7 linked regions of the Neurospora crassa OR74A genome follow. The protein of the gene in region 4 purifies or fractionates together with the protein of the main gene of each other region. This does not show direct contact. Links are inferred from orthologs where the notes say so. Each region holds a gene or a part of one and is shown on either strand. Other genes may lie near its edges. The genes, in order: NCU11175, NCU02511, NCU06217, NCU03764, NCU00404, NCU00981 and NCU01524.

What was found.
Region 1: the proteins of NCU03764 (region 4) and NCU11175 purify together in Saccharomyces cerevisiae (affinity purification with mass spectrometry; 5 studies listed by BioGRID). This does not show direct contact. The link is inferred for Neurospora crassa OR74A from reciprocal best matches to the Saccharomyces cerevisiae genes YTM1 and DRS1.
Region 2: the proteins of NCU03764 (region 4) and NCU02511 purify together in Saccharomyces cerevisiae (affinity purification with mass spectrometry; 7 studies listed by BioGRID). This does not show direct contact. The link is inferred for Neurospora crassa OR74A from reciprocal best matches to the Saccharomyces cerevisiae genes YTM1 and NOP2.
Region 3: the proteins of NCU03764 (region 4) and NCU06217 purify together in Saccharomyces cerevisiae (affinity purification with mass spectrometry; 3 studies listed by BioGRID). This does not show direct contact. The link is inferred for Neurospora crassa OR74A from reciprocal best matches to the Saccharomyces cerevisiae genes YTM1 and NOP4.
Region 5: the proteins of NCU03764 (region 4) and NCU00404 purify together in Saccharomyces cerevisiae (affinity purification with mass spectrometry; 4 studies listed by BioGRID, with this or other methods). This does not show direct contact. The link is inferred for Neurospora crassa OR74A from reciprocal best matches to the Saccharomyces cerevisiae genes YTM1 and RPF1.
Region 6: the proteins of NCU03764 (region 4) and NCU00981 purify together in Saccharomyces cerevisiae (affinity purification with mass spectrometry; 4 studies listed by BioGRID, with this or other methods). This does not show direct contact. The link is inferred for Neurospora crassa OR74A from reciprocal best matches to the Saccharomyces cerevisiae genes YTM1 and NSA2.
Region 7: the proteins of NCU03764 (region 4) and NCU01524 purify together in Saccharomyces cerevisiae (affinity purification with mass spectrometry; 3 studies listed by BioGRID, with this or other methods). This does not show direct contact. The link is inferred for Neurospora crassa OR74A from reciprocal best matches to the Saccharomyces cerevisiae genes YTM1 and BRX1.

Annotation. Positions count from the first base shown.
Region 1 is NC_026503.1:3,110,112-3,114,172, forward strand, and holds the start of NCU11175 (ATP-dependent RNA helicase drs-1), read left to right. Parts: upstream 1-1,261; 5' UTR 1,262-1,432; coding exon 1,433-3,160; intron 3,161-3,217; coding exon 3,218-3,979; 3' UTR 3,980-4,061. Other genes in the region: NCU00234 (hypothetical protein), read left to right, coding at 1-775. UniProt on the Saccharomyces cerevisiae protein: ATP-binding RNA helicase involved in ribosome assembly.
Region 2 is NC_026501.1:2,564,206-2,568,484, reverse strand, and holds the start of NCU02511 (S-adenosylmethionine-dependent methyltransferase superfamily domain-containing protein), read right to left. Parts: upstream 2,801-4,279; 5' UTR 2,387-2,800; coding exon 1,495-2,386; intron 1,425-1,494; coding exon 1,388-1,424; intron 1,315-1,387; coding exon 1,126-1,314; intron 1,057-1,125; coding exon 541-1,056; intron 478-540; coding exon 320-477; intron 253-319; coding exon 1-252. Other genes in the region: NCU02510 (clathrin heavy chain), read left to right, coding at 3,607-3,696, 3,787-4,279. UniProt on the Saccharomyces cerevisiae protein: S-adenosyl-L-methionine-dependent methyltransferase that specifically methylates the C(5) position of cytosine 2870 (m5C2870) in 25S rRNA. Required for 60S ribosomal subunit synthesis and processing.
Region 3 is NC_026503.1:1,936,196-1,940,292, forward strand, and holds NCU06217 (nucleolar protein 4), read left to right. Parts: upstream 1-1,297; 5' UTR 1,298-1,472; coding exon 1,473-3,791; 3' UTR 3,792-3,955; downstream 3,956-4,097. Other genes in the region: NCU06216 (nuclear condensin complex subunit 3), read right to left, coding at 1-758. UniProt on the Saccharomyces cerevisiae protein: Required for 60S ribosomal subunit synthesis. Probably involved in the processing of 27S rRNA to produce mature 25S rRNA.
Region 4 is NC_026505.1:2,340,292-2,343,708, forward strand, and holds NCU03764 (microtubule associated protein), read left to right. Parts: upstream 1-1,144; 5' UTR 1,145-1,338; coding exon 1,339-2,802; 3' UTR 2,803-2,917; downstream 2,918-3,417. Other genes in the region: NCU03763 (DNA polymerase delta subunit 2), read right to left, coding at 1-330, 386-695, 761-810; NCU03765 (3'-5' exonuclease/helicase), read right to left, coding at 3,176-3,417. UniProt on the Saccharomyces cerevisiae protein: Component of the NOP7 complex, which is required for maturation of the 25S and 5.8S ribosomal RNAs and formation of the 60S ribosome.
Region 5 is NC_026503.1:3,739,871-3,743,533, reverse strand, and holds NCU00404 (RNA processing factor 1), read left to right. Parts: upstream 1-1,149; 5' UTR 1,150-1,287; coding exon 1,288-2,008; intron 2,009-2,080; coding exon 2,081-2,256; intron 2,257-2,336; coding exon 2,337-2,598; intron 2,599-2,668; coding exon 2,669-2,793; 3' UTR 2,794-3,163; downstream 3,164-3,663. Other genes in the region: NCU00405 (glycyl-tRNA synthetase 1), read right to left, coding at 1-483. UniProt on the Saccharomyces cerevisiae protein: Essential protein. Required for biogenesis of the 60S ribosomal subunit.
Region 6 is NC_026501.1:6,508,714-6,512,289, forward strand, and holds NCU00981 (ribosome biogenesis protein NSA2), read right to left. Parts: upstream 2,165-3,576; 5' UTR 1,981-2,164; coding exon 1,978-1,980; intron 1,861-1,977; coding exon 1,842-1,860; intron 1,766-1,841; coding exon 1,480-1,765; intron 1,335-1,479; coding exon 893-1,334; intron 826-892; coding exon 790-825; 3' UTR 501-789; downstream 1-500. Other genes in the region: NCU00980 (hypothetical protein), read right to left, coding at 2,860-3,576. UniProt on the Saccharomyces cerevisiae protein: Involved in the biogenesis of the 60S ribosomal subunit. May play a part in the quality control of pre-60S particles. Under normal, rapid growth conditions, high levels of NSA2 would allow the progression of pre-60S particles through the ITS2 processing.
Region 7 is NC_026502.1:3,192,924-3,196,699, reverse strand, and holds NCU01524 (ribosome biogenesis protein BRX1), read left to right. Parts: upstream 1-1,456; 5' UTR 1,457-1,607; coding exon 1,608-1,753; intron 1,754-1,831; coding exon 1,832-2,049; intron 2,050-2,118; coding exon 2,119-2,732; 3' UTR 2,733-3,276; downstream 3,277-3,776. Other genes in the region: NCU01523 (GTP-binding protein ypt3), read left to right, coding at 1-61, 143-223, 296-435. UniProt on the Saccharomyces cerevisiae protein: Required for biogenesis of the 60S ribosomal subunit.

The sequences.
Region 1 (4,061 bases), on a different chromosome or scaffold from region 4:
ATTGCCCCAGTTATCTGCGGCCTCCGCAGCACCTCTCGGTGGCTATTACCCCGATTACCACAACTACGAACAGTACACCACCCCTCCTCCAACCGAAGCTCCAACTTCAACACCACATCTTCCTCTTCCTTCAGTTCCTACTACGCTCCCACGACCAAACCCAACAACCTCACAAACCCAACGGCCACAGCCCCCATTAATCGTCTCATATGGACCCAACCGAGTAACGCCCACTCCAGCTGTGACTTCGCCTACAGTGCCTCCCGACGAGTCTATGATTGAAAGACCACCTAGAGGAGTTGAATTACAAGGCGAACCCGCATCTCTGATGGAAAGGAGACATCCATGGGAGGACATTGATCTCCCGAGCGCCAGTAATAACGGTCCTTTACCACCATACGCATCGACAGAGGAGTACGCTGCAATGGAAAGCGGCGCGATCCGTAAGCTGGAGGAGCCAAGGGCGCATGCTGAGCTGCCACCAACCAAAGATGGCTACTATCATGCTACGTGGGATATTGTTGAGCACGAATTGCCAGGTGACGGATATCAACGAGACCCTCTCTACCCGCAAGCATCCGCGTCCGGACGTGGAAGGGATATCGATGAGCAGAAATTCTTGCTGGATGATGTTGAAATGGCGCATTTGAAGGCGCAGAAAGAACGAATCCGCGCTGAAATGAAGAAGAAGCAGAAGCAGAAGGAGACTTACCAGCAGGACCAGGGGCATGACCAGGACTTCCTTGGAGCGTCGGCGAGCTTCTCCACACGGTAGCACGAGTGATAATGTGGCGGTCCATGTGAAGAAAGTTACGTTGTGGGCAACTGATGTTTTGGAGGCGAAGGTTTGAGGATTAGCATTATACCATTGGCAAGGTGTCTGGCGTTCATTTTGGGTATCGACGGGGTAGATGACTCCTGTGTAGTATCATCATATAATACGGGCTGATACATCTGCGTTGAGAATAGCTGGACCATATGCCCCGCACAAGTATAAATATAGTCCTACTGTAGTAAGGACAAGGTCCTCTGGCTCTATAACATGAACGCGTATTCAATTTCTTGGGACAATGTGGTGTTGAACGAGTTGCTCCCGAAGACGGCAGGTACTCACTTGATAGTTGAGATGGTACGTACCCATCCCCGCAGCTGTCGACCAGCTGCCACTGATAAGATCCCCAGATCCTCCAATCACATTGACCGCCCGGCAGAAAAAGTTACAGACGGGCATGGTTCCCAAATTTTTGTTTTCCCTTTCGTTCTGCGGCGGAGGAAGAGACGAAAAAAGACCCCACTGACTGCTATCAGTTGTACAATCTTGACGATTCCACCAATTCCCACTCAGCATCGGGAGCTTCCCGTCGTTCTCTTTTCCAACACAACACTACAGAACAAACAACGGTCACAGACCGTTGCAACACCATCCACCACAATGGCGCCCTCCCAAAAGCGCAAAGCGATCGACGACGATTTCATCCTCACCATTTCCGACAATGAAGAAGACATCCCACTAGAAGAGGAGCAAGAAGTTGTACCCAGGAAGAAGGCCAAGACGGCCACACAACAATCGAACAAGCAAAAGAAGAAGAACAACAAGAAGTCCAAGAAACAGCAACAGACTGAAGATGACGACGACGAAGCCGAAACAAAAGAAGACGACGCCGCCGACCTCGGCATCTGGGGCGACAACGACGAAGACGACGGCGCCATGGATACCGAGTTCCAGTTCGTTGTCGACGGCCAGAACGAAGTGGACGCCGAGTTCGACGGCTGGGGTTTCGAGGGCGCGCACAAGGGTGTTGTGAAGGGCGCCAACGCGGGCGGGGACAAGAAGGCTGTGGATATCGATGAGATTATCAGAAGGAGGAGAGAGAGGAAGGCTGCTAAGGAGGGGAAAACCACGGCGACAAAAGAGGAGGAGGATAAGATGGAGGTTGATGAGGAAGAAGACGACATAGAAGAGATTGATGTGGATTTGGATGATGATGAGGATGGTGTCTTGGCTGACGATGCTTTTGGTATGGGTGTTGGGTCGGACGTGGAAGAGGAGGAGGAGAAGCAGGATGCGAAGATGGGGGGTGTTGATGGGGAGGATGAGGATAGTGAGGGTGAAGATGGGGAGAAGAAGGGAGAGGATGAAGACGAGGGCGATGCGTCGGATGATGACTCGGTTGCTACGGCCGTTGAGCATCCTGATGATGTGCAGTCATCGGATGATGAAGAGGGTATTGATGAGGAGGAGGAGGCCAAGATGAAGGAGTTCTTTGCGCCGGAGGAGGAGAATCAGCCTAAGAAGAAGGGCGAGATGTCTTCGTTCCAGGAGATGTCTCTCTCCCGTCCTATCCTTCGCGGTCTTACTTCCGTGGGCTTCACCAAGCCGACGCCCATTCAGGCCAAGACCATCCCCATTTCGCTTATGGGTAAGGATGTCGTCGGTGGTGCCGTCACCGGTTCCGGTAAGACGGCCGCCTTCGTCGTTCCCATCCTTGAGCGTCTCCTCTACCGTCCCAAGAAGGTTCCCACCACCCGCGTCGTTATTCTTACGCCCACCCGTGAGTTGGCTATCCAGTGTCACGCTGTCGCTGTCAAGCTCGCCAGCCATACCGACATCAAGTTCTGTCTGGCTGTCGGTGGTCTCAGTCTGAAGGTGCAAGAGGCCGAGCTCCGTCTTCGCCCGGATGTGGTCATTGCCACTCCTGGTCGTTTCATCGATCACATGCGCAACTCTGCCAGCTTCGCCGTCGACACCATCGAGATTCTCGTCCTCGATGAAGCCGATCGCATGCTCGAGGACGGTTTCGCGGACGAGTTGAACGAGATTCTTACCACCCTTCCCAAGTCCCGCCAGACCATGCTGTTCTCTGCCACCATGACGTCGTCTGTCGACAGGCTCATTCGCGCCGGTCTCAACAAGCCTGTGCGCATCATGGCCGATTCGCAGAAGAAGACTGCCGGTACGCTTGTTCAAGAGTTTGTCCGTCTCAGACCCGGTCGCGAATCGAAGAGGGAAGGATATCTGTTGCACATCTGCAAGACTATCTACACGGAGCGTGTCATTATCTTCTTCAGACAAAAGAAGATTGCGCACAAGATGAGGATCATCTTTGGTCTGTTTGGATTGTCGTGCGCCGAGTTGCACGGTAGCATGAACCAGGCTCAGGTATGTTTACGATTTACGATGCTCCAGATGGATGAGTGATACTAACAGGATCCATAGCGTATTCAAAGTGTCGAGGACTTCAGAGATGGAAAGGTCAACTTCCTCCTTGCCACCGATCTCGCCTCACGTGGTCTTGATATCAAGGGTGTCGACACCGTCATCAACTACGAGGCTCCCCAGACCCCCGAGATCTACGTCCATCGTGTCGGTCGTACAGCGCGTGCGGGCCGCAGCGGTACCGCTATTACCCTGGCTGCTGAGCCCGATCGCAAGGTCGTCAAGGCTGCCGTCAAGGCCGGCAAGTCTCAGGGCGCCAAGATCAGCAGTCGCATCATCGATCCCGCGGACGCCGACAAGTGGCAGGCCGAGATCGACGAGTTGGAAGATGAGATTGAGGAGATTATGCAGGAAGAGAAGGAGGAAAAGCAGCTGCAGAACATGGAGATGCAGGTCAAGAAGGGCGAGAACATGATCAAGTACGAGGACGAGATCAGCTCGAGGCCCAAGCGCACGTGGTTCGAGACGCAGGAGGACAAGAAGAAGGCCAAGGCGGCGGGCCGGGCCGAGCTCAACGGCGTCAGGGACAAGCTCAAGTCCAAGAACGAGGGCAAGTTGAGCAACAAGGACAGGAAGAAGCTCGACACCATGCAAGAGCGCAAGCAGGAGAGGACATACAAGAAGGGCAGCGCCGAGAGAGCCGGTAAGGGCGCGGTGCTGAACCTCAAGAAGGTCGTCAAGAAGGTGGGACGGTCTGCTGGGCCTAAGAAGAAGGGCGGCAATGCTGGTAAGGGTGGTAAGGGCAAGGGCAGGAGAAAGTAAATGTGAGGAGCACGATTCTGTTGTTGTTGTTGAGTTTCTAAATGTAATTGAGCTTCAAGCTAAGTCTAGTGTGCTTTTGATA
Region 2 (4,279 bases), on a different chromosome or scaffold from region 4:
CCAAACCTCTCCTGCGCATAGCGTTGCGCTTAGCGCGCTCCATGTACTCCTTGTCCTCACCATCATCAAAACCGCCAAAGTCATCCTGGGCTTCGCACTCGGCACCAATGGGCGTCTTGTCGACAACTTCTTGGGCTTCCTGGGAAGCTTGGCCGTCCAGAGGCTTGTTGGACTTGTCGACGCCGTTGGCGCGGACAGCAGTGGCGGGCGTGGGGCCGAGTTTCTGGAACTTGGCGACGAAGAAACCGTCGACTGGAGGGTTGTGTTAGTGATGAAGGAGGGGAGGGAGGGAAAGGGGGTATAAGGAGGCGAAACGTACCGTTGTAAAGATGGGGGTAGTATCTGCGGGTGAGCTTGAGGCTGGGGTGGAATGATTTGCCCATGAAGCTGGTGAAGCCTTCCTTGCCGAAAGCCAAGCCAGTCTCGACGAGCTTGACGTTGGGACGGCGGCTGAGCGCATAGGCAACGACTTGCTCACTGTTTGTAATCTTGGGTTAGCGTCTTCTGAAAGTACAGTTAAGAACGATATGGAAAACGCACTTTTCCTCAACGGCAACGGAACACGTCGAATAGACAACGTAACCACCAGTCTTGCTGGCATGGTCAACCGAGTCGATGGCAGCCAGGAGAAGCTGCTTTTGGAGATGGGGGAGCTGCAGGAAGTCCTTCTCGTCTCTGTTGGTCTTAACAGAGGGATCCTTGGCAATGACACCAGTGCCCGAGCATGGGGCATCGAGCAAGACTCTGTCAAAGCCACCCATGACCCTGGGGAACTCACGCGCATCGTAGTTGCATACGATAACGTTTCTTGCGCCCAGTCTGTGAATGTTGCCGATCAAACCTTTGGCACGCTGCTTGCTGGGATCGTTCGCAAAGATCACACCGGTGTTCTTCATCAACGCCGCCATATGGGTGGTCTTGCCACCGGGGGCAGAGGCCATATCGAGAACACGCTCACCCTCCTGGGGGCAGAGAGCCATCACGGGCAGGAACGAAGACGCGGCCTGGAGGATGTAGTGACCAGCCAGATACTCAGGCGTGGCACCGAGGGGAACGCTTTATGCCCCAGTTGTTAGCCATTTGCATGAATCGCGTCGTTGTAGTCCTGATTTAGAATATACGTACTTCGAGTCAAAGACTTGCAGACCGACCTTGGACCACTTGCCTACAGGCTCGAGTGTGACACCGCGGTTGATGAGTGCTTGGGCAAGATCGCGGCGATGTGTTCGGAGGGTGTTTGTACGGATAACGACGGGGCGGGCACTCTCGTTGGCTTCGAAAAAGGCGAACGCCTCTCTGGGAGGGAACAGGTTGCTACAAACAGTCAGACAGTTTCCCCACTGGTGGTATCGCCGCAGACAGGCATGCGACAGGTTGTAAAACATACAAAAGCTTTTCAGCGAGGTACTCGTTGTAACCGTAGTCTGGCAAAACCTGAAGTTAACATTTGTGCATTTCACGAGAAGTATTGCGCAAGGAACATCGGGTCCTTACAGGCACAGATATCCTTGATGAGTTGGCTGGTGTACTCGGCGCGACTCTTGCCCTCTTCCGCCGAATTCGAAAAGTCGTCCAGGATACGGATGGCGTCTGTTATCCTCGTTCTCAACATCTGGAGATCGGGTGCCAGCAAAGTTTTGGTCTTAGTCTGAAGTTGGTCGTCGTCATCACCGAGGTCATCACCACCAGCGATGTTGGTCTGGAGCGCCTCGTCGCGCAATTCGGCCTCGTTCTCCTCTGCTTCCTTCTCTCTTTGCATATCCAATTTCCTCGAAAGACCCTCGATGTTGGCGGCTGTGAGCTTCTCCTCTCTATCCTCTTCGTCATCCTCATCGTCAGAGAAGACGAATGCCTCCTTCTTGGTAGCACCGTCCTGGTCGGAATCGTAAACCGAGTCGTCGTCAGTGCCGAGGAAATCGTCTCCTAGCTTTTGAACGTCCATCTCATCGCCGTCGATATCAAGGCCCTCCAGGTCGGACGCGCCAAACTCGTCGTCCATCTCCTCGTCATGATCGGGCGAAGGCTGCTTTGCCTTCTTAGGCTTCTTGGACTCCTTGGACCTGTGGGCGGGCTTTGTGCCAGTCTTCTTCACCTCCTTGACCTCTTTCTTGGCGCCCTTGACTGCGACAGTGTTGGAGCCGGATGTCTTGGGCTGCTTCTTGACAATCTTCTGCTTCTTGGATCTTCTAGTGTCGACTTCGGTCGTGGTTTCGTCAAAGGGAATGCCCTTCTTGCGCTTGAGGTTGGCGAAGTGCTCCTCCGAGAGGGGCTCAGGAGGGCCCTGTTTCTGCATGCGACGTCCGACACCCATTTTGATGGTATTGCTGGTCGTCTGGTGGTGATTGGGATGTTGTTGGGGTTGGTTTGAACACTGATAGCCCACCATCGACAGGCGCTTGTGGATATTTCTCCGGGTCGATTTTCTTTTCTGAAAAAGCTTATCGATAGCAATGCCAAGTCTCTTTCCTCAAATCGGGTTCCACCTCACTGCGGTCCCAAAAGGTGAGCCATTGGTCAGTGCCCCACATTAGTCAAGCTGGGCCAAGTTCGGAATCCCTGTAGCAACAGCTGACGCTACCCCTGGAGCTGGGCTGTTCTGGAGTAGGGAACAGCTGCCCCTGGAGCCCGGCATGAACGGCGCCCCCGGAGGCAGGCGGCCTGGAGGTATAAGGTACCTAGAGGTAGGAAATGGAAGGACCGTCTGACGGACCTCGCAGGAGAGGCGATCAATGCGGGCAAAGGAAAGTAGAAGGATGACGGGATGAGGGCGGGCAACCTGGACCGGGCGGACAGCTTGAAGCGAAGGGGGCAGGCAGGCCTCCCGGGCAGGCGCCTGCCGCCTGGTCTAGGCGCACCCGACGCAGGGGGAAGCACTGAATGGAGCCGGCGCCGGTGGGCGGTGGACGCCCCGGCCGCGAGGTCCCGTGTTAACACATCACTCAAAAGCAGGCAGGTAACCTGAGAGGTACTAGAGGTACCTTCCGTCTGCGCTGAACAGTTGCGGCATGTACAAACACACTGGACAGCTGGAGAGGCATCTCACCTCAGCACCTTCCATCTTTCCTGCTGTATCTTTCATCTCTCACGGTACTAACTTCCCGTAACAAACGACGTCTCCTCTTGCTGCTTTGCATCCTTCAACAACCGCGATTCTTCTCTATTCTTTCTGCTGGAGCATTGAAGTGAGGTGACATCGAGGTACCTGCTCGCCTTTACTTTACGTATCTGTAACTGAGCGGCAAATCGCGACTCACCTCTCACCCACAGTTTGGCGGCGGGTTTTACTGCGTACCTGCCTTCTGGACCTTGCGTTAATCCTTCCACCTCCAACCTCCTACCTACCTCTACCTACCTGATTCATCCGTCCTCTTTCCCCCTCCCCATTTCTCGGGAGCTCGGTCATTTTCCCCCCAAAGTACAACCAACCACCACCACCACCGCCTCCTTTCACGTCGCCGCCATTCCATTCAGTCCACGGAGCTTCACGAGCCTCCATTTCCCCAATCTTTCTACTTCCCAGCGGATTCACCTTCCAGCCGCTTTTGATAAGTTGGCTGCTAATCTTCGTCACTCTGCGCGCAGCTTAGCGCAACACCACCGCCCATCATGGCTCAGGCCCTACCCATCAAATTCCAGGAGCTGCTGCAACTCAGCGCCCTCGGCATCAACCAGACTGCCATCACTTTCAATACCTGTGTACGTTGTCCTCACCTTGCTCTGACTCTGCTAGTGACAGTTGTCGCGCCTCCTCTGGCACCCCTGCTGACGTGAACCCCCCGCTCCCAGACTCTAGAATCGGACAACTGGGTGTGTATTCGCGACAAGAAGGACGAGGCAGCGTCCCCTGAAGTCATCATCGTCGATCTCAAGAACGGCAATAATGTTATCCGACGTCCCATCAAGGCCGACAGTGCCATAATGCACTGGACGCGCCAAGTAATTGCCCTCAAGGCCCAGGCGCGCACACTCCAGATTTTCGACCTCGAAAACAAGGCCAAGCTCAAGTCGACAAACATGAGCGAGGATGTCTTGTTCTGGAAGTGGGTTAGCGAGACCACGCTTGGCTTGATCACAGATGGCTCTGTTTACCATTGGGATGTCTTCGACCCGAACCAGCCCGCTCCGGTCAAGGTCTTCGATCGTAATGCTAATCTCCAGGGCAACCAAATAATTAATTATCGGACCAGCGCCGACGGAAAGTGGATGGTTGTTGTCGGTATCTCACAACAGCAGGGCCGCGTTGTTGGCGCCATGCAGCTCTATTCCAAAGACCGCGGTA
Region 3 (4,097 bases), on a different chromosome or scaffold from region 4:
TCGGCACTAGGGTCGTTCTGCAAGACTTCGAGGAGCTTTTCGAGAAGACCAGTCGATCCATCATCGTCGCTATCGTCGGAATTCGGTTCGCCCTCGAACTGGTTGCCAGCCAAGCGTCCAAGACCCAGCACAGCCTGTGCCCGGACCATGGCCTCCTTGTCGCGAATCCTCCTAAGTAGACTTGACCGTAGCTTCTGGAAGAGGTCGTCGTCAATCGCGTCGAGGGAGTTGATGATATGAGATATGAGTTGCGTTGACCGATAGCGCACAAACTTGTCCTTGGCGATCATCAAGGGAAGAACGGTTTCCATCAAGTGTCCGGTAAGCCGGGTGCTGGGTGTCTCGGGCATGGTGCTGGCGTCCGGGTCGGCCTCGCCGAGAATTTCGTTATCCTTCTCGACGGCATGCCGCAGGAACAGACCGATGAAGCGCACCGTCTTCTCGCCGACTCCCTCGCTCTTCTTGATGGGCATGACGCGCAGGACACAGCGTACAAACTCCTTGTTGAAGTCATCTTCCTCGAACTCGTCGGCCTCGGCGGGCTTCTTCGTACTCGTCGGCTCGTAGCAGCATGCTTCTTGTATCTTGCGCAGGGTCACGGCCAGCTTGCGATGGGATGCCGTGGTCTTTTGGGCGTCGCCGAAGACGGTCGCGACTTGTGTGCGTAGCGCATTGTCGGGAGTATCCAAGGGTGCTTCTGGTACGACCGAGGTCTGGCGCGCCCCGCGTGTCGCTCTCGTCGATCTGCCCGGCGCCATGGTCGGCAATGACTGTTGGTATTAGCGGGGCCTGCACAGCGGCAGTCCTCTATTTGTATGCGATATGGAAAAGGTACAAGTAATCCAAGCCCAAGATATAAGAAAACAAGCAAAAAAAAAAGACGGATGTGAGGTTTCGTAGGATGGCTTTTGCAACTGAGCAGGAGCCGGGGATGAATGAAAGTGACACTATTCGCGAATGAAGGTTGTTTTGTTTACTTTGCACTGCAGGTGGGCTGCTGTGAATTTCCTGGCGGCCCCGTCGTCACCTAGCGGGAGGGACTGTCTGACCTGCTGCAGAGGGGTCGCGCTGCTCGCTGCGCTGTATGTCGCAAAACGTATCGACCCTGCTGGTGAGCTTGAATGGTCTGTGCGCCCCGCCTTTCCTTTGGTGTGGATTGTGGAAGCGCGCGAAGAGAGGAAGTGGAAGAGACGGGCTCAGGATCCCGCTGCCAAGCTTGAGGGAAACGATAAGCTCCCTTGTACGCTCTTATCGGGACTCCACTTCGAATATTTTTCTTTGGGCGAAGGGTCCAGAACTGTTGTCGCTGGGGGAAGCTGTGCACTCGGCGATTCCCATCCACCATTTGCGCCTTGAGAGGGTCTGTTCTCTTCACTTTTGGTTTGATTTGGCTGCTTTCTCATCTCTCCCCTTCTTTCAACAACAACACCACCTAACAAACACATAACATAACAACCCGATTGCTTGCAATAATGGGCAAGGACGGGAACAAGAAGCGCCAACGCGAGGTGGACGAGGAGATCCCAGTTGATCCCGATGCCATCAAGGATTCCGATGTTGCTGCACAGAACCCCCCAAGCAAGAAAGCTAGAGTTGAATCCAACCGCTCTCTCTTCATCCGACAGCTGCCTCCAAGTGCCACCGCCGAGTCTCTGACCGAGTTCTTCTCCCAACATTTCCCTGTGAAGCATGCCACCGTCGTCCTCGATCCCAAGACCAAGACCTCGCGCGGCTATGGTTTCGTCACCTTCACCGATCCCGAGGATACCCTCGAGGCCAAGGCCAAGCTCAACAACTACCTGCTTGAAGGGAAGCGCCTGAAGCTCGACATTGCCGAAGCCAGACACCGTGATGCCAAGAAGACCGGACCCGTTGTGTCCAAGGTCGCCGAGGAGAAGCAGAAACGTGCCGAAGCCGTCGCCGAGGCCCAGAAACCCAACAAACTCATCATCCGCAACCTGCCATGGAGCATCAAGAAGCCTGAGCAGTTGGCCGAGCTATTCAAGCCATATGGTAAGGTCAGGTTCGCCGACTTGCCCAACGATAAGGGCAAGCTCTCTGGTTTCGGTTTCGTCACCCTCCGTGGTCGCAAGAATGCCGAAAAGGCTATCGAGGCCGTCAATGGCATGGAGGTCGATGGCCGCCCATTGGCCGTCGACTGGGCCGTGGATAAGCAGACATGGGCCCAGCAGAACGGCGAAAAGTCAGACGACAAGAAGGAGAAAAAGGACAAGAAGGTTAAGGAACCCAAGGACAAGAAGACAGAGGAGGAGGAGACTGCTGGCATGACACAGGAGGAAAAGGATCTTTACAACTTCTTCAAGAGCCAAGGCGAGAACCTCGAGAGTGAAGACGAGGAGGACGAAGACAAGGACAAGGAGGACGAGGATGAAGACGATGAGGACAAGGACGAAGATGATATCGAGGAGGACGAGGAGGACGAGGAGGATGAGGAGGAGGAACAGAAGCCCAAGCGGCTAACCGACAACTCTCTAACACTCTTCATTCGCAACCTACCATACACCACCACCGATGAGCAGCTGAAGGCGCACTTTACCCAGTTCGGCGGCATCAGATACGCCCGAGTTGTCAAGGACAAGGCCACCGACAGGCCAGCCGGTACCGGTTTCGTGTGCTTTTTCAACGAGGAGGAGATGAAGGCCTGCCTCAAGGGCGCCCCCCGCCATCAACCTACCACCACACTCGTCAAGCACTCCATCCTTCAAGACGAGACCGTCGATCCGGAGGGCAAGTACACGCTCGACGGGCGCATCCTTCAAGTCGCCCACGCCGTCTCCAAGGACGAAGCCGAGCGTCTCGCGGAGGCCTCGGCCGGTAAGAAGGACAAGGACAAGAGACGCCTGTACCTCCTGAACGAGGGCCAAATCACACCCTCGTCTACGCTCTTCAAGGTCCTTACCCCGGCCGAAATCAAGATGCGCGAAGCGTCGGCCAACCAGCGCAAGAAGCTGATCCAGTCCAACCCGTCGCTGCACCTGTCGCTCACCCGTCTCGCGCTGCGCAACCTGCCGCGCAACATCGGGTCCAAGGAGCTCAAGGCGCTCGCGCGCCAGGCCGTCGTCGGCTTCGCCAAGGACGTCAAGGAAGGCAAGCGCGCGCCCATCTCCAAGGAAGAAAACTCGCGCGGTGGTGAGCAAGACAAGGAGAACGAGCGCCTCCGGAAGCTCAAGGGCAAGGGTGTCGTCAAGCAGGCCAAGATCGTGTTCGAGACGACCACGGGCACCAAGGTGGACGAAAAGGTCGGTGGCGGCAAGTCGCGTGGCTACGGCTTTATCGAGTACTCGTCGCACCGCTGGGCGCTCATGGGCCTGCGCTACCTGAACGGGTTTGCCGTCAAGAACGAGCTGGGCAAGACGCAAAGGCTGATTGTCGAGTTCGCGATCGAGAACGCGAACGTGGTGCAGCGGAGGAGACAGGATGAGGAGAAGCAAAGGACGATGACGCCCGCGGAAAGGAAGGCGGAGATGGAGGAAAAGAAGAGATCCAAGGAGGCCAAGGAGGCATACAAGGCTGGAAGGAAGGCGGATAGGAAGAAGGGCGCTAAGCCTGAGAAGCCTGCTGGGTGGAACAAGGGCAAGGATAAGAAGGGCCCGGCTGAGGTGGCCAAGGCCGCAGGCGCCGCCCCGGCGAAGGAGGTGAAGGCTGAAGATATCAAGGTGGATAAGAAGGGCAAGAAGAGTGAGATGGTCAAGGAGGCCCTCATGACCAAGATCCTGGCGAGAAAGAGGCAACAGAGGAAAAAGAAGGCTAACATTAGGGGCAAGAAATAAGCCTGGGCTCTTGGAGTTTACCTAATGTAGGGAGAGAGTGTGTGTTTTTCTGCTGCTGGCCCGGAATGTTAAACCATTTATGTTATTCTTAGGGCCTTTCCTGTTTGCTATCTAAGTATACCTTTATCACGATCAAAAGCAATCCCTTAGCGTTTTCCAACACCTCTCAGTCTATTTCCGCCGTGGACACTCGTGAACTCTTTCGCTGGCAGTTCTTAACCAAGACAACGCTCAATAATATTGTACGCCCTCTACATGCTATTATTATATAATAGAACGCCTGTTTGCCTGCTTTGTTTTTCTCGC
Region 4 (3,417 bases):
CTTTTTAGAGGAGGGCTTGTGGGACTGCCTGGAGAAAGAGGCGTCCATCATTTCGACGTCTTCGGAGGAGTCTGCTTCCTTTTTGCCTTTTGAGAGCGACCAGCGCTCGGGCTGTGGTGGTAGTTCGGCGAAGAGGAGGTCGATGACTTCGAATTCGCCGTTGGCGTTCTCGGTGCCCATTACCGCGACGATGCAGCCGGTCACCATGAAGTGGTTTTGCAGAGCGTTGCCGACAAGACGGATGCGGCCGGAGTCGTCTTCGAGCATTACCGAGTCTTCGCCGTTGCCGGAGTAGTAGTGGCCGACCGAGGTGGGAGCGGAGATCCAGCGCTATAACATCATTGTCAGCTGCCTGGTGTCCACCAAAGGATAGGCTGAAACTCACATCCTTGGAGACATCCTCGAGGATTGAGGGCTTTAGAGGCATGTCCATATATACTGTTCCAGCTACCCAGCATAGTTCTCCCTGGCGAACGTCTAGGACACGCTCGACCCTCTTGACCTTCTCACCACCAAGCACTGTTCCCTCCCAAGCGGCGCTGGCGGCTGCCTCGACGGCGGGCCTGATCTTTGTAAGACGCAAAAAGTAAATATCGGCATATTGTTGTTGATAGGGACGGGTTTTTTCGAGTTTGAAGGTATGAAGGGGCTTGTAGTTGGTGATCTGGCGCTGGAGAGCCTCGGGCGCATCGCCTCTTCGTGAAGTTGGGTTGTTAGCTGATGATCGCCAGTGGAAGATGGATGATCCACTGCTACTCACGAGGGCTTCTGTAGCAAACCGCTACCGAGAACTTCGTCCAAGGTGACCATCGTATGATTGATACTGACAATGGCTCAAGATGTGAGAACGACAAAAGCAATTGGTGACTTATTCATGTGCTGCCCGACTCGGAAACTGACTTCAAGGGACGAAACTCGACGACGCGCTTGACAATTTCGAGACGCGTAGCTCCAGTGGGTTCAATTAAGCCAGGTACATGACCGGTACTACTCTATACTAGTATAGTTTACATAGTAGCGGCGCTTCAGCACTGTGACCCTCACAGGAACCGTCGGCCCCGCTATAAAGTTCCGATAAGATAGGGGAACGTGGGGTAGCTAGAACACTCCAGACCCCTGCGCTGCAAGGCTGGACAGAAAAAATTGGATGGAGTCTTGGATTTGGCATGGCCTTGTGGTGTCCGCTGCAAAGTAAACATCCACACTCTCCTCCCGACGACGCCTGTTTCACGGTAATCTAAGCCAATCTGACTTTTACTTGTCAATTGATAGTATTCAGCCTGCCCATACCGAACAGCGACTACCCAATTCACATAATATCACAGCACAGGCACCGCCATGGACCACCCTACCGAATCAGGCGCCCAGGTCCGGGTGACCTTCACCACCCAGGAGGAGGACATCCAGCTCGATGAGAGCAAGCGCCAGCTCCTTGTCCCCGCCGACATCCGCCGTTATGGCCTCTCCCGTATTCTCAACTCCGAGTCCATGCTCGACACCAACTCGATCCCCTTCGACTTCCTTGTTAACGGCAGCTTCCTCCGCGGCAGTCTTGAAGAGTACCTCAACGCCAACGGCCTCTCGCTCGAAACCAACATCACCCTTCAGTACGTTCGCAGTTTGATCCCACCAACATACGAGGCCAGCTTTGAGCACGACGACTGGGTCAGCGCCGTCGATGTTCTTTCCGCTACTTCTCCCGCGGGCCGCTGGTCCGGCGACAACTTTCAGCGCGGCCAAGATCGCATCCTCTCCGCCTCGTACGACGGTCTCCTCAGGATATGGGACGCCTCTGGAAATGTGATTGGCACCTCGCCCTCGGGCAGCCACGGTGGTCACACTGCCAGCATAAAAGCTGCCAAATTCCTCTCCAGCACTCAGATTGCCTCGGCCGGCATGGACCGCACAGTTCGCGTATGGAAGTACACCGAGTCGGGCGAGTCGTACGAGCGTCGCGGCGAGCTGAAGCCCACTCTCGAACTGTACGGCCACACCTCCTCGATCGACTCGCTCGAGGTTGACGGCGCCTCGAAGCGCATCCTCACTGCCTCCGCCGACGGTTCCATCGGTTTCTGGACCACCTCCAAGGCGTCCGCGCCCGAAGTCTCCGATTCCTCGCTCCTTCCCGGCGCCCACACATCCAAGCGCCGCAAGCTCGCGACCTCCGTCACCGCCGCCCAGCGCGGCCCGCTCGCCCTTATGAACATCCACAATGCGCCCGCCACGGCCGCCGTCTTCGACCCCCGCGACCGCACCGTTGCCTACTCTGTGTCGCAGGACCATACCGTCAAGACCATCGACCTGACCACCTCCAGCGTGGTCAGCACCTTCACAACCTCGCATGCGCTCCTCTCTCTCGCTGCCCTGCCGCGCTCCTCGGCCTCGGCGCCCCTTCTCGCCTGCGGCACCTCCGCCCGACACATTACCCTCGTCGACCCGCGCACCAGCACGGCCGCGACGAGCGTCATGACGCTGCGTGGGCATGCCAACAAGGTGGTCAGTCTGGCGGCGAACCCGGAGAACGAGTACTCACTGGTTTCGGGCTCGCACGACGGGACGTGCCGGATCTGGGATTTGCGGTCGGTCCGGCCAGCGACCAAGGACGAGGGCGGCATGGGCAGCGTCAGCGAGCCCGTGTACGTTATTGATCGCGAGAGCCAGCAGGGCAAGAAGAAGAAGAGCAGTGTGACGGGCGACGGGTGCAAGGTGTTCAGCGTGGTGTGGGATCAGCTGGGCATCTTCAGCGGTGGTGAGGATAAGAAGGTGCAGATTAATAAGGGGAGGGGTGTGAATGCCGAGTAGAGGAAGAAAAATGGTCGGGAAAGAGGGGGTTGTTGATGAAGAGAAGGGAAGCAGCAGAACTTGGTTGTTATGATATACCCAGGATAGATAAAATGGAATGTGAATACTGTACAGGATATTTTTGTGATATCTGCAGGGACGAGGCCAAGAACAGCCGTGACAGATTCTTTCTGAACTAAACTGTACGCGAAAACTGTACTGACCTGGAGCATAGACTAGATGGCTTCTGCAGAGCCCAGTCAGGTTGTTCTGAGGATTATACAAGGTTCATCTACCAACGTCTAAAAGTAGCCAAGTCGGTCTCGGGGTATAGGTGCATCGTCGACATCTTTCCTTTCTTGTTCAGCACTCGACCAGCAGCTTGAGAGCCGGCTCAGTGACTTCTCGACATCTTCCTCAACCTCTCCACCTCTTCCTCATCAACCGTCGCTTGACTGCTGCTATTGCCCAGCGTCAACTCCTCATCAAAGTCCAAATCCCCAGCCTCCAACGCAGCCTTCATCACATCCTCCACGCTCTCTTCCTTCGGCTTTACCTCCACCTCTGCCTGTGTCTCATCTACCTCCTCACCCTCAACCTCCTCTACCTCACCTTCCTGCTCCTGCTCCTGCCCAA
Region 5 (3,663 bases), on a different chromosome or scaffold from region 4:
GAACTTGTCGACGTGGCCGGAGGTCTTGAGAACATCGTGGGGGGTCAGGGCGGTGCAGTCAACCTCGAGCATGTCCTCCTCGAGGACAAAGTGCTTGCGCCAGATGTCGATGATGTTGGCCTGGAGGGCACAACCGGGCGGGCCATAGTCGTAGAGGCCAGCAACACCGCCGTAGATATCGAAGGAGGGCGCAAAGAACATGCGGCGGCGCAGCATGGACTCGAGAGCGCCCTTGTCGAGGGGCTGGCCCTTGAGGGTGGTGGCCGTCGAGGTCATCTTGGTGTTTTGTTTTTTGACGTAGACTTGGAAGCGATGGTGCGAGGTAGAGAGGGAGAAGGATCGGAGCGAAGTCGAAGAGATCCGCGGGATGGGCGCCGGGGTCCAAGAAGTTCGACTGGCGACGGCTCGGGTGGATAAGGTCGATTTGAATGCTTGACCAGCAACAGGAGAACGGAGGGAGGCGAGACGGGCAAGAGGTCGCATGAATTGGTCTTGTTACAGTGCTCAAGGGAACCAAGTGAGTCACGGTCGCCCACTGAGGTTTCGTCGAGGCCTTTTCAATTGAAACACGTACTTCAACCGAATCGCGGGATGATTTTTTTCTTTGGGGGGGTAGAGGGGCGCCATGGAGGGGCCGGCACCAACGACCCAGACAACCTAAGCCAAGGGACAGCGGTCCAGATTCCCGCTCTCGAGCCGCCGTCAGTGGCGGCGCGGTACGCGACAGAAGGCTCGACTCGCTGGAATCCACCAGCCATATCAGGAAGTGGAACTGCACATGCTACTGTACACTACCTCTACCTACCTAAGTAACTCCCTTACAGAAAGCGCATTCCGCTGGCTAGCGTTATTGTGACTTTTCATCGGCTAGAGGTATTGATATTTGATTATCAAGAGTCCGTGATGCCGCCGTTCTTCATCCCAAAAATTCTGCTTCCGTCCCAACTTACAGCAAGGGACGGGATGGAGTCATCCTGTGCAGGTGACAGTCAGGTAGTAGTGTACACTGAGGGGTAGCGGTACGTACCTGTCCCCGGCTGAGGCCGTGCGTTAGCTGTTGGGGTACCCTTGTAGATGCACGTCTTGGCGCCCTTGATGGCTCTGGGCCCAGAAAAAAAGTTGAAAGTTTACCGGGCCCGTTCAATTCATCCGTCAGGTAGAGGTAGCAACAACTGCCCAGCATCACGTCGAAGTTTGAACTGTGACCTGGAGAATTGATCCTACCCTACAATTTTGACACCGCGACAACCACTAATCCCACCGCCGTGTTACCACATCGTAGCCGATATGCCGTCCGGTAACAAGGGCAAAAACCGCTCCGGCGGATCGCTGTCGCTCAAGACCTCCAACAAGATTGTCAGAAAGCAATTATACGTCAAGCAAAAGAAGGAGCAGGGAAAGGAACGCCATGAGGAGCGTCACCGCCGGAGGAAGGAGGAGGCCAAGGATCCCAAACTCAGAGAAGAGCGCCTCGCAAACAACCAACCCTTGACCATTGAGAGGAAACGCGTGTGGGATGACGTTGACGACGACAGCCTGGGCGTCGCTGTGGATGTTGCCGAGCTCAAGAGGAGGCGCTTGGAGAAGGAGGAGGCCGAGGCCGCCAGGCTAGCCGATGGAGTCACGGAGGAGGATGAGGAGAAGGACGACGATGCCGATTCTATGTTGGACTCGGACGAGGAGGGTGACGACGACGACGAAGATGCCGAGGAGCGCATCGAGAGACTCAGACAGGAGCGTGCGCAGAGGAAACCCAGCATCGCTCCCTCGACCACGTCGACAAATCTAGACATGACTCCCGACTCGCTCACACGACAATTTCCCAATCTCTTCAACGAGGAACCCCCAGTCGACCCCAAGATTCTGGTCACCACCCATTTGAACGGCACCATTCACAAGGAGGCGGAGGACATTGCTGCCATCTTTCCCAACAGCACGTACATCAGACGCAGTGCGCACGCGTATGGACACAAGTATAGTGTTCGCGAGATCGCAAAGTTTGCCAAGAGTGAGTAGCGCACCCAGGTTGGAGTTTTGTTGCCCAAGAGAAAATTGCTAACACAGGCCTGAATTGTTACAGACCGTGGATACACGATTCTCATGATTGTCGGCGAAGATCTCAAGAAGCCTAGCTCCCTGACCGTCATCCATCTCAACGGCGAAGATGTTGCCCCTGGTCCTTCGTTGACATACACCATCCGGAACTACCTGCCTGGAAAGGCTCTCCTTGGCCACGGTAACCCTACAAACCACTACGTAAGCCGTCCATCCTAATCCCCAAGTCCATTAATTACAGGACATTGAGACTAAGCATTGCAACCAAAAAAAAAATACAGCCCGAGCTTCTCCTCAATGGATTCAAGACCCCTCTCGGTATCCTCGCCGCTAAATCCATGCACACCATGTTCCCTCCCAGGCCCGAGCTTTCGGGTCGCCAGGTCGTGACATTGCACAACCAGCGTGATTACATCTTCTTTCGCCGCCACCGCTACGTCTTCCGCGAGGCCCGCACGACGGAGAAGAACGTGGTTACTGCGGAGGGCAAGGAGATGGAGGGTATGCAGGGTATCCGTGCTGGTTTGCAGGAGATTGGACCCAGTAAGTCTTGCTACCGCGGAAAACAAAAGTTTTGGCGAATGAACCGAAAGTGGCTGACTTGTTTTGATAGGATTCACTCTCAAGCTTCGTAGAGTGGATAAGGGTATCGGTCGGGCTGGCAGCGAAGGAGAGGATGCTTTGAAGTGGGAGTGGAAGGCCAAGATGGAGAAGGTTCGCACGCGCTTCAACCTCTAAGGGGGCTGATCATGATAGTAGTATTGGTGATACCCTTCTTTCAGTATGCCATCGTCTCTGTTGGCACTGGAGAGTATTTGTCTTGTTCAAAGTGTGTATGTGGCGTTATCGGTTCACAAAAGGGTTTGGGAGGAAGGCATGATTCATCAACATCAGGTCACTATGACTGTACTTCAAGACTACCTATTTTCTGTGCATGTACCGCCGGTTTCCTCTCCCTTTCTACGATTTATGACCAGCCTTCTTGGCTTCCTCCTTGAGCATAGCCACTGGATATCTAACCCAGCAACGAAATCTCAGCCATTCTGCTCAGTATCATCGGCAAGAGAAGCTGGAGATGCCGCCGAGTTGCGGTGATAGTGGGCGATCCAGATGGTGTAGAGGGACGAGCCGAGGATGCCGAGAAGTGAGAAGAGGATGCCCTAGAGGGTTATGATTTCGACTTGCTTTTGGGTTTGATCTGTTGCTGAACCAGGTACGGTTTTGGTTGAAAGAGGTAAAAGATAGGATATCATAATGACTGACTATCCACACCCCGCACACGACAAGCTGGGACCAAAGCCAACATGGCTCTCTCGGGTAAGACGGAGTGGTAGAGAACGTGATTCGTCACGCCACGATTGGCGTGAGCAAGATCCAAGCGATTTGGTAGAAGGTTACAGAATTAAAAGCTATTAGCCAATGAGGAAGGATCACATCGAGGGACATGGCCACGCTGAGGGGAGTGTCTCGGGGAGAGATGGAGCGAGGACAAAGAGCGAGAGGGGAGGTCGCGAGAGGAGGAAGACGGTCAGGTAGGTGGTGAGGAAGTGGAAGGTTGCGAAGGAGAGCTGGGTTAATTGGAAGGATGGGGTGGAGAAATGGACTGAA
Region 6 (3,576 bases), on a different chromosome or scaffold from region 4:
TTCCTGCGCTTTCCCGGGGCCATTAAAGCTAGGATCCCGAGACATGGGCAAATCGCTTCTTTATATCGCTTCGAGTAGCTCTTCGTTGGTACGGTATCAGCGTTTCGTTGACCGTTGAGTGGTGGCAAGTGGGCTTGAAGAGTACAGAAGTTACTCGTCGGTCTGGATAGAAAATACCTGCTTTTGATTCTTGGAGGCTGGGTTGACCCTGGAGTGATGAAGCTCGGAACTGCTCTCCTTCTAAAATCAAGATACAGAAGACAAGCTAGATGCTCTGAGCTGATGTAGAAGTCAATGTGTTGCCCTTGCGTTAGTTGCTTGCGGTGTTGCATGTCAAATCGACCAGCAAATTTCCATCGACTCAGGATGCAGGGTTCCATACAGCCATTTAGACCTTTGTAAGGTTAATCGCTTGCCAGCATAGTCTGCTCGAAACCCATGGGAGTCAACCTAGATCAAGCGCAGCAGCAACCAGAGAAGATATATCTATGTGTCTTATCGTATTAATCCATGTCTTCTAAACCATCAGGTGATACAATCAACCAAAACAAATGATCGGAGGGTATAATGTTCTACCGCAGATTGTGTGTGTATCTTAACCACTATACTACCTAAGTGAACCCCCGGACGAGATATTTTGCGCGGCCGTGAGTGTCGATCCTCTTTCAAAACACCAGACGCCAGTCCCAGATGCAAAATCAGATTTAACGCAATCCCGTTACAGTTGCCGCCCAAGAGACTAGACATATAATTAGACAAATCAAACCATCACCCTCTTCACTCTTGCGCTTAAACCAGGAGCACAGCGTTCAAGCATCCGTCGTTCTGGTGGAAGTTAAGTATTAGCAGTTCGTCCATGTAAAGTTAAGAGGCGGGGTTGTGCTGGTCATACCTCAGGGTTGTTGGTGATCTGCGCATAACGACCCCAGGCAATTTTGCCCGACGCGGTGACCATACCAAGATCGGAAACGTTGACCTCGATAATAGTACCCTTGGACAGAACACCAAGCTGGGTATAAAGGGGGTTGCTGGGGTTCTTCTTGACGCCGAGAATGGGGAGCTGAACCGTGACATTGAGGGTAGGGTGGGTGACGTTGGCCTTCTTGTAACGGAGACCCATGGGCCGGATGAAGCGTTCGTACTTGACTGGGCGTCTGGTGAAATCGGGTCCGACGAATGTTGGCTTGGTGACGACGCGCTTCCAGCCCTTCTTGTGCACCTTCTTGCCCGTCTTGACGACCTTGAAAAGCTCCTCTTCGCTGATACCCTTGACCTTGGGAATAGGGACCGAGAAACGAGCGGCCTTCTCGGCACGCTTGCTCTTGATCTGGGAACTGCACGAAGAAAACGGTCAGTCTCTCGTCATCGTATGGGACCCTTTCCAACCTCCATGACTACTGCCATCATTGCATTCACATTGGCCTCCACCTCCGCCGCGGCCGTTCGCTTCTCATGTGTCCTCCCATTCAAGTGACGTACCTCAAAGCCTTCGCACTCGTGGGGTTCGAACGGTCGAGCAGATAAGCGGGAACGGGGTTCGAAGGGTCCTTCTCCTCGGGGGCGCCCTTGACATTGCGCTCCTCGTGCTGCTTGATGGCCTTGCGCATCTGGATCTTCTGGGCATGACGCTCCTTGGCAAAGAGCTTGGCCCTCAGGCCACGCAAGTTCTGTGCATTCTCGCTCTGCTTGTGACCCTCACGGGCAGCCTTCTTGCGTGCGCGCTCCTCGGTGTCCAGACGCTTACCGTGAAGCTTCTGGGCGCGTTCTGCGAAACGAAATAATTGGTTAGGGACTGGAAACAGGTCGACGGTAATCAAGATCGAGTGCGAAGGGAACTATACCGATGTATTCGTTCTGAGGCTGTATTCAGGAAAACGTCGGTTAGCATGGTCTGCTCTCAAGTGATCGGAAGGGGTCATGATGTTGAGGAGAGTGGCTGTGGATTGGGAGGGCAATTCGAAGAAATGATATCCGTACCATATTGGTGTTTTAGGCCCTTTGAGGGTCTTGCGGTTCAAGATATGTGGCGACGCAATCTGGCCTTCAGATGTTGTAGGGCGACGAAGGGCGACGAGAATGACGATGCGGTTTAGGTCAATATGCTTCAGTACCTCTACCTATGCGAATGCCTGCTGAACGGACGTCTTGAAGCCGATAAAAAAACCATTCAAGGCTAGCTTTCCTTATCGGGCGGCTCCTCCAGTGGCGGAGACCCGTAAAGAGGTGGACATAGTGGGGCAGCTTCATCACCTGTCATTGGTTGATATCTACTTAACAGCATGTCCAGGAAAACGTGGAGTGGGTTCGGATGAAGGTGCCTGCCAGCTGCAGGGCATTGGAAGTGCACCGCGGCAGCCAGAGCCGCCCGTTGAGGACGAGAACCTTGATGGAAGGCCAGTGGACAACTTTTGTATAGATCCGGAGATCACCTTACCATTCGTAGAATGGCTCCTGCAACTAGGTTATTACCAAGGGACACTAGTTGTGTGGCTCGCATAACCCGCTTCAACGAGCACAGTAGGTATGTCAACAAAGGCAAAACCCAAAGACGTGGTATGCTTGGGGGTGTTAAGATATCTAGATATGCTACACCGTGTCATGACAACCTATACTATAATTCGTCCGACGGGCTCTATTGCCAGCCAACGCCCGCCAATGAAACCGGAATCCGTGCAAAATGACTAAACTCCAGACGCTGATGCAAAATGTTTCTGGGTGTCCGTCCTGTCTTCCAGCCAACGCCATTGCAAAACCGTCTCCAGAAAACGAATTCCTGCCTTGAAATTATCACGATGCGCCGAAACCTTCCCAATTTAGAGGCAAAAGAAAGAAGGAGACACGCCACGCAACCACGACATATCAGCGGTCTCCGGCTCTGGACTTGAGTTTTGCAAGTGCTGCCCGCTTTCTTTCCTCCTTCTCGCGCTTCAACCTCTTCTCCAGCGCCTCCTGCTCCATGTCTTCTCTGCGAGCCTGCAACTCTGCCCGGCGTTCCTCCGCGTCGATGTCGGACAATCCCGCCTCCATGTCTGAGTCATCCTCTTCCAGTGACTCGTAACCACCGCGACGACCATAGCCGTAGCCATCGTCCTCATCTTCGTCGTACTCGATGAAATCGTCCAACTCTTCATCCTCCTCCTCGCGTCTCCGGGGACGTGAGAATGAGGCGCCATAACCGGACAGCCCACGGCCCCTACTTGCGCCTGCCGAGGTGGATGCTCCTGGTTTTGTGGTGGTGGCCCCTGGGCGGGGACGTGCCGTGCCTTGGTATCCAGTCGTCGCTAAAGCAGCCTTCTTTACCTTCTTCTCCTCCACGGCATTTTGGCCTGTCTTGGACTTGGCGCCAGCCGGGGCTGAGGGGGTGATACTCCGCTGACGGTTCGCAGTCGTGCCGTTGGTACCATTGCGGGTTGGCCCAGCTGTCACACCGCTCCTCCCGGTAGTCGGTGGCCTTACATCCTTCTTGCCCTTTTTCGCTTCCTCGGCCTTTAATTCCTTGCGTTCCTTCAGCGTCAACTGCTTCTCCACCTTCTTGTGCTGAATCTTTCCAACGGATGACAGCATGGGCTGATTGGC
Region 7 (3,776 bases), on a different chromosome or scaffold from region 4:
AACAAGAGCGATTTGCGGCATCTGAGAGCCGTACCCACGGAGGACGCCAAGAAGTTTGCCGGTACGTTGCGCGTCACAGCCATGATGACATGGTCGCTTGGGAAAGCCGTATCGCCAGGATGACTGACAGAGAGAACTGCAGAGGAAAACCACCTATCCTTTATCGAGACTTCGGCTCTCGACGCCACAAACGTCGAGCTTGCGTTCCAAAACATTTTGACTGGTAACGTTTGCCCAAAGCCTACAGCTGCTGCTCTGGCGCGAGCCTACCGCTAACATGCGATCATTTATCTAGAAATCTACAAGATCGTGTCGACCAAGAACTTCGACAACGGCCCCAGCGGGTCCAACGAGGGCCACCAAAACCTGTCTGGCCAGAGCATCTCGCTCAGTCAGACCGCGAACGACCCCCAGGCGAAGTCTGGCTGCTGTTAGGAGGTGCTTGATTCTCCGGGCCGGGAACCGAGTGGCCCTGAAGGGTTGAGGTGCAGGGTGCAGCAGAGTACAACAGGGTGCCGAACCAACAACGGCGTCACATATGTCTGACATGAAGCAATGGAGGCTTATGATGAGCAATGAAGAGCAGCATCGGGGGAAAAGTACGGACGGATCCTGCCCAGTCTTATTACATCACGGTCGCCGATGGGATGGTCTGTTTTTCTTTTTCTCTCTATTTTTTTGGGCTTTTGGGGAGGGGGGAAAGGATCATGATGCTCGTCTTCCAGCCTTTCCTTTTTGTTGTTATTACTACTACTACCCCTTTCTTCCCTTTTCCCCCCGTGCTGGTCGTTGGAATTTTCCTCAATGTGGTTAACGAAGCCATCACTTGCGCATGGATTACGAAAGATATTATTTAGTTGAAATGAACTATGGGCGATAAACAGCCCTTAACTCAACCTGGTACATATTGCTCCACGTTGTCAAGGTCTCCATCTATTGCATCCACAATGTGGGAGAAGAGGAGTACCTCGAGAGTGAGTACCTATGTAGCGATAATCGTGCAGGATCTCGTTATGACATTCAAGTTGATTATGTGCGACAGCGGGAAACAGTCAATACAAATTAAGACATCTGGGCTTGCCTGATGGATTATGGCGACTGTCCCTCATTACTCCCATCGCGTCACCCGAGGCGGTTGAAGTGGGTTTGAGTGCGGACAAGAGGCCAGTCCCGTCCCATCCCCCACTGTAGGGCAGACAAGAAGAACGCGTGGAACTTGGACAGTGTGTGTAGGCAATGGAATCCCCAGAACTTGGGGGTCCGGATTCCAGGTTGGGTCCATCAGTGGGACAAATGCGGGTTGCCCAGACCGCCGACCGCCTTTCAGCTGTTCCAAGCAGGGGGGCCGGAACAGGGACGCTAGTAAGATAAGAGAAGCTTATCGGAGTGGGGCTGCGATTGGCCGGCGAACTTTTTTTGAGATGGAACAGCCTGCACTCCATCACTGCGCTTCGCCCGCGACGTTCGTGGATTGGAGCATTGAATTCACCTTTGCAATCCGCATTCCGTTTTTCTGCCATCACTTCCACCACAACCACCACCAACTTCAGTCACCCTTGTTTTTCGCCCGATTTTGATACCCAAAGAACGACAAGAACAAAAAGAAAATGGCCGCCGTTTACAAGTCGCTCTCGAAGAGCGCCAAGAAGGTCGAGGACACGGAGAACGACAACAACACCACCACCACCAATGGCGGCTTTCGGAAGAACAAGCAGAGAGTTCTGATTCTCTCGTCCAGAGGCGTTACCTACAGGTACATATAGACCCTGCATACCTGCAAGATGGAAGAAGAAAGGGTCAATTGCTAACCGCCTTTGCGCCCCGAGTACAGACACAGACATCTCCTCAACGATCTCGCAGCGATGCTCCCCCACGGCCGCAAAGACGTCAAGTTCGATTCCAAGTCCAAGCTGTACCAACTGAACGAGCTTGCCGAGCTCTACAACTGCAACAACGTCATGTTCTTCGAGGCGCGCAAGGGCAAGGATCTGTACATGTGGTTTAGCAAGGTTCCTAACGGCCCTACGGTCAAGTTCCACGCCCAAAACTGTGAGCACTATCCATATCCGAGATACGCATTGTGAAAGAGGAAAAATCGGGTTCTAACAAAAAGCACAGTGCACACCATGGAAGAGCTTCACTTCACGGGTAACTGCCTCAAGGGCTCGAGGCCACTCCTCTCCTTCGACCTCGCCTTCGAGCAAGAGCCGCACTACCGCGTCATCAAGGAGGTGTTTCTGCAAATGTTTGGCGTCCCCCAGGGCGCGCGCAAGTCAAAACCGTTTATCGACCACGTCATGAGCTTCAGCATTGCCGACGGCAAGATCTGGGTACGCAACTACGAGATCCGAGAAGTGGAGAAGGCCAAGGGCGAGAAGGACAGCGAAGGAAACGACATTGTCCCCGAGAGCGACAAGTCATCATCGAAAAAGAGAAAGGGCGCGCCCAACGCGGAGCTCAAGGACACAGACGTCAGTCTGGTTGAGATCGGACCTCGGTTCGTCCTAACGCCCATCATCATACAGGAGGGCGCGTTCGGCGGCCCCATTATTTACGAGAACAAGCGCTTTATCTCCCCCAACCAGGTGCGCTCGGAGCTGCGCAAGGCCAAGGCGACCAGGCACAACACCAGGGTGGAGCAGGTCAAGGAGAGGCTCGGCAAGCTCGAGACCCTCACGGCCCAGGCGAAGAAGGAGAAGGATGTCTTGGATACCCGGGAGCTCTTTGCTTAGAGAAAGGAGGAGGAGGGGAAAGAGAGAGAGAGAGCTTTTCACAACACGATTTCATCACGTCTGTTCGCTTGCGACACATCAAAGCAACGCACGCCTTAGGTTTAGGGGTAATCAAGGAGTTTTTTGTACTTTTGCTGGCTGGCTGGTTTGGTCTGGTTCGGGAAAAAGAAAGGAAATCGATTTGCATTGTACAACATTACAGTATTCGTGGGGATGTGTGAGACGGACGAGCTGTCCTCTTTTGACAGTTGGGAAAGAGGATCATGATCGAGTGGTAGATGAGCACTCAGCGTATAAGGTGCTGGCTCGAAAACGGACACATCAGATCAAGATTGAGTGATGAACGCCGTCCTGGCTCCGGTCTTGGTCGTGTTGAAAGGAGATGGTCAAAGAAGGGTAGGAGAGCAAGTACTTTGCTCGGCACCTCACTAGCGGTTGACTGTCTATAACCACACTCCTGAGGGAGATGTTGTTCGCATAGGACCTAGACTCTACCTTAAATGCAGTTGCGCTGTGAGATATTGTCTCACATTTTTGCTCCATGATTTGGGTTGTTTCCATATATATAAGAGACACGAGGTGTCTCTTTCGTTGAGTTGTTGGGATGATATCACCACCTTCAGTACACTCCTCAAGGAGAAGAAGAAGAAAAAGTACCATGTTTTGTCCCAAGGTAGCTTTGGGCGACATCGTCCCAAATTTCAGATTTTCTGACGGACTAGCCATCTTCTCAGGGGCTTTGGGTCGTCTAAGTCATGTAGTGTGCCTGGGAGTTGGCGCGAGTTTGGTGCTTCTTGAAAACAAGAGATAAGGACTGGAGCCGATACCTAGGACGTCGCTCCTTAAAGCGAAAGACAAATGGCTTGAGTCTAATGTTGAACACGTATGGCTAACGCTTTTGATCAAAATTTAGAAGCAAAAAAAACGACTCGGAGTACTTTGGTCATGACTCAGGTTCACTCATCGATATCGGAGGAGAGAGTTGAGGATAGGTTGTAGAGGGTTCACTTCACTCATTGTGAAAGTTCGCTACAGGGGACCTGT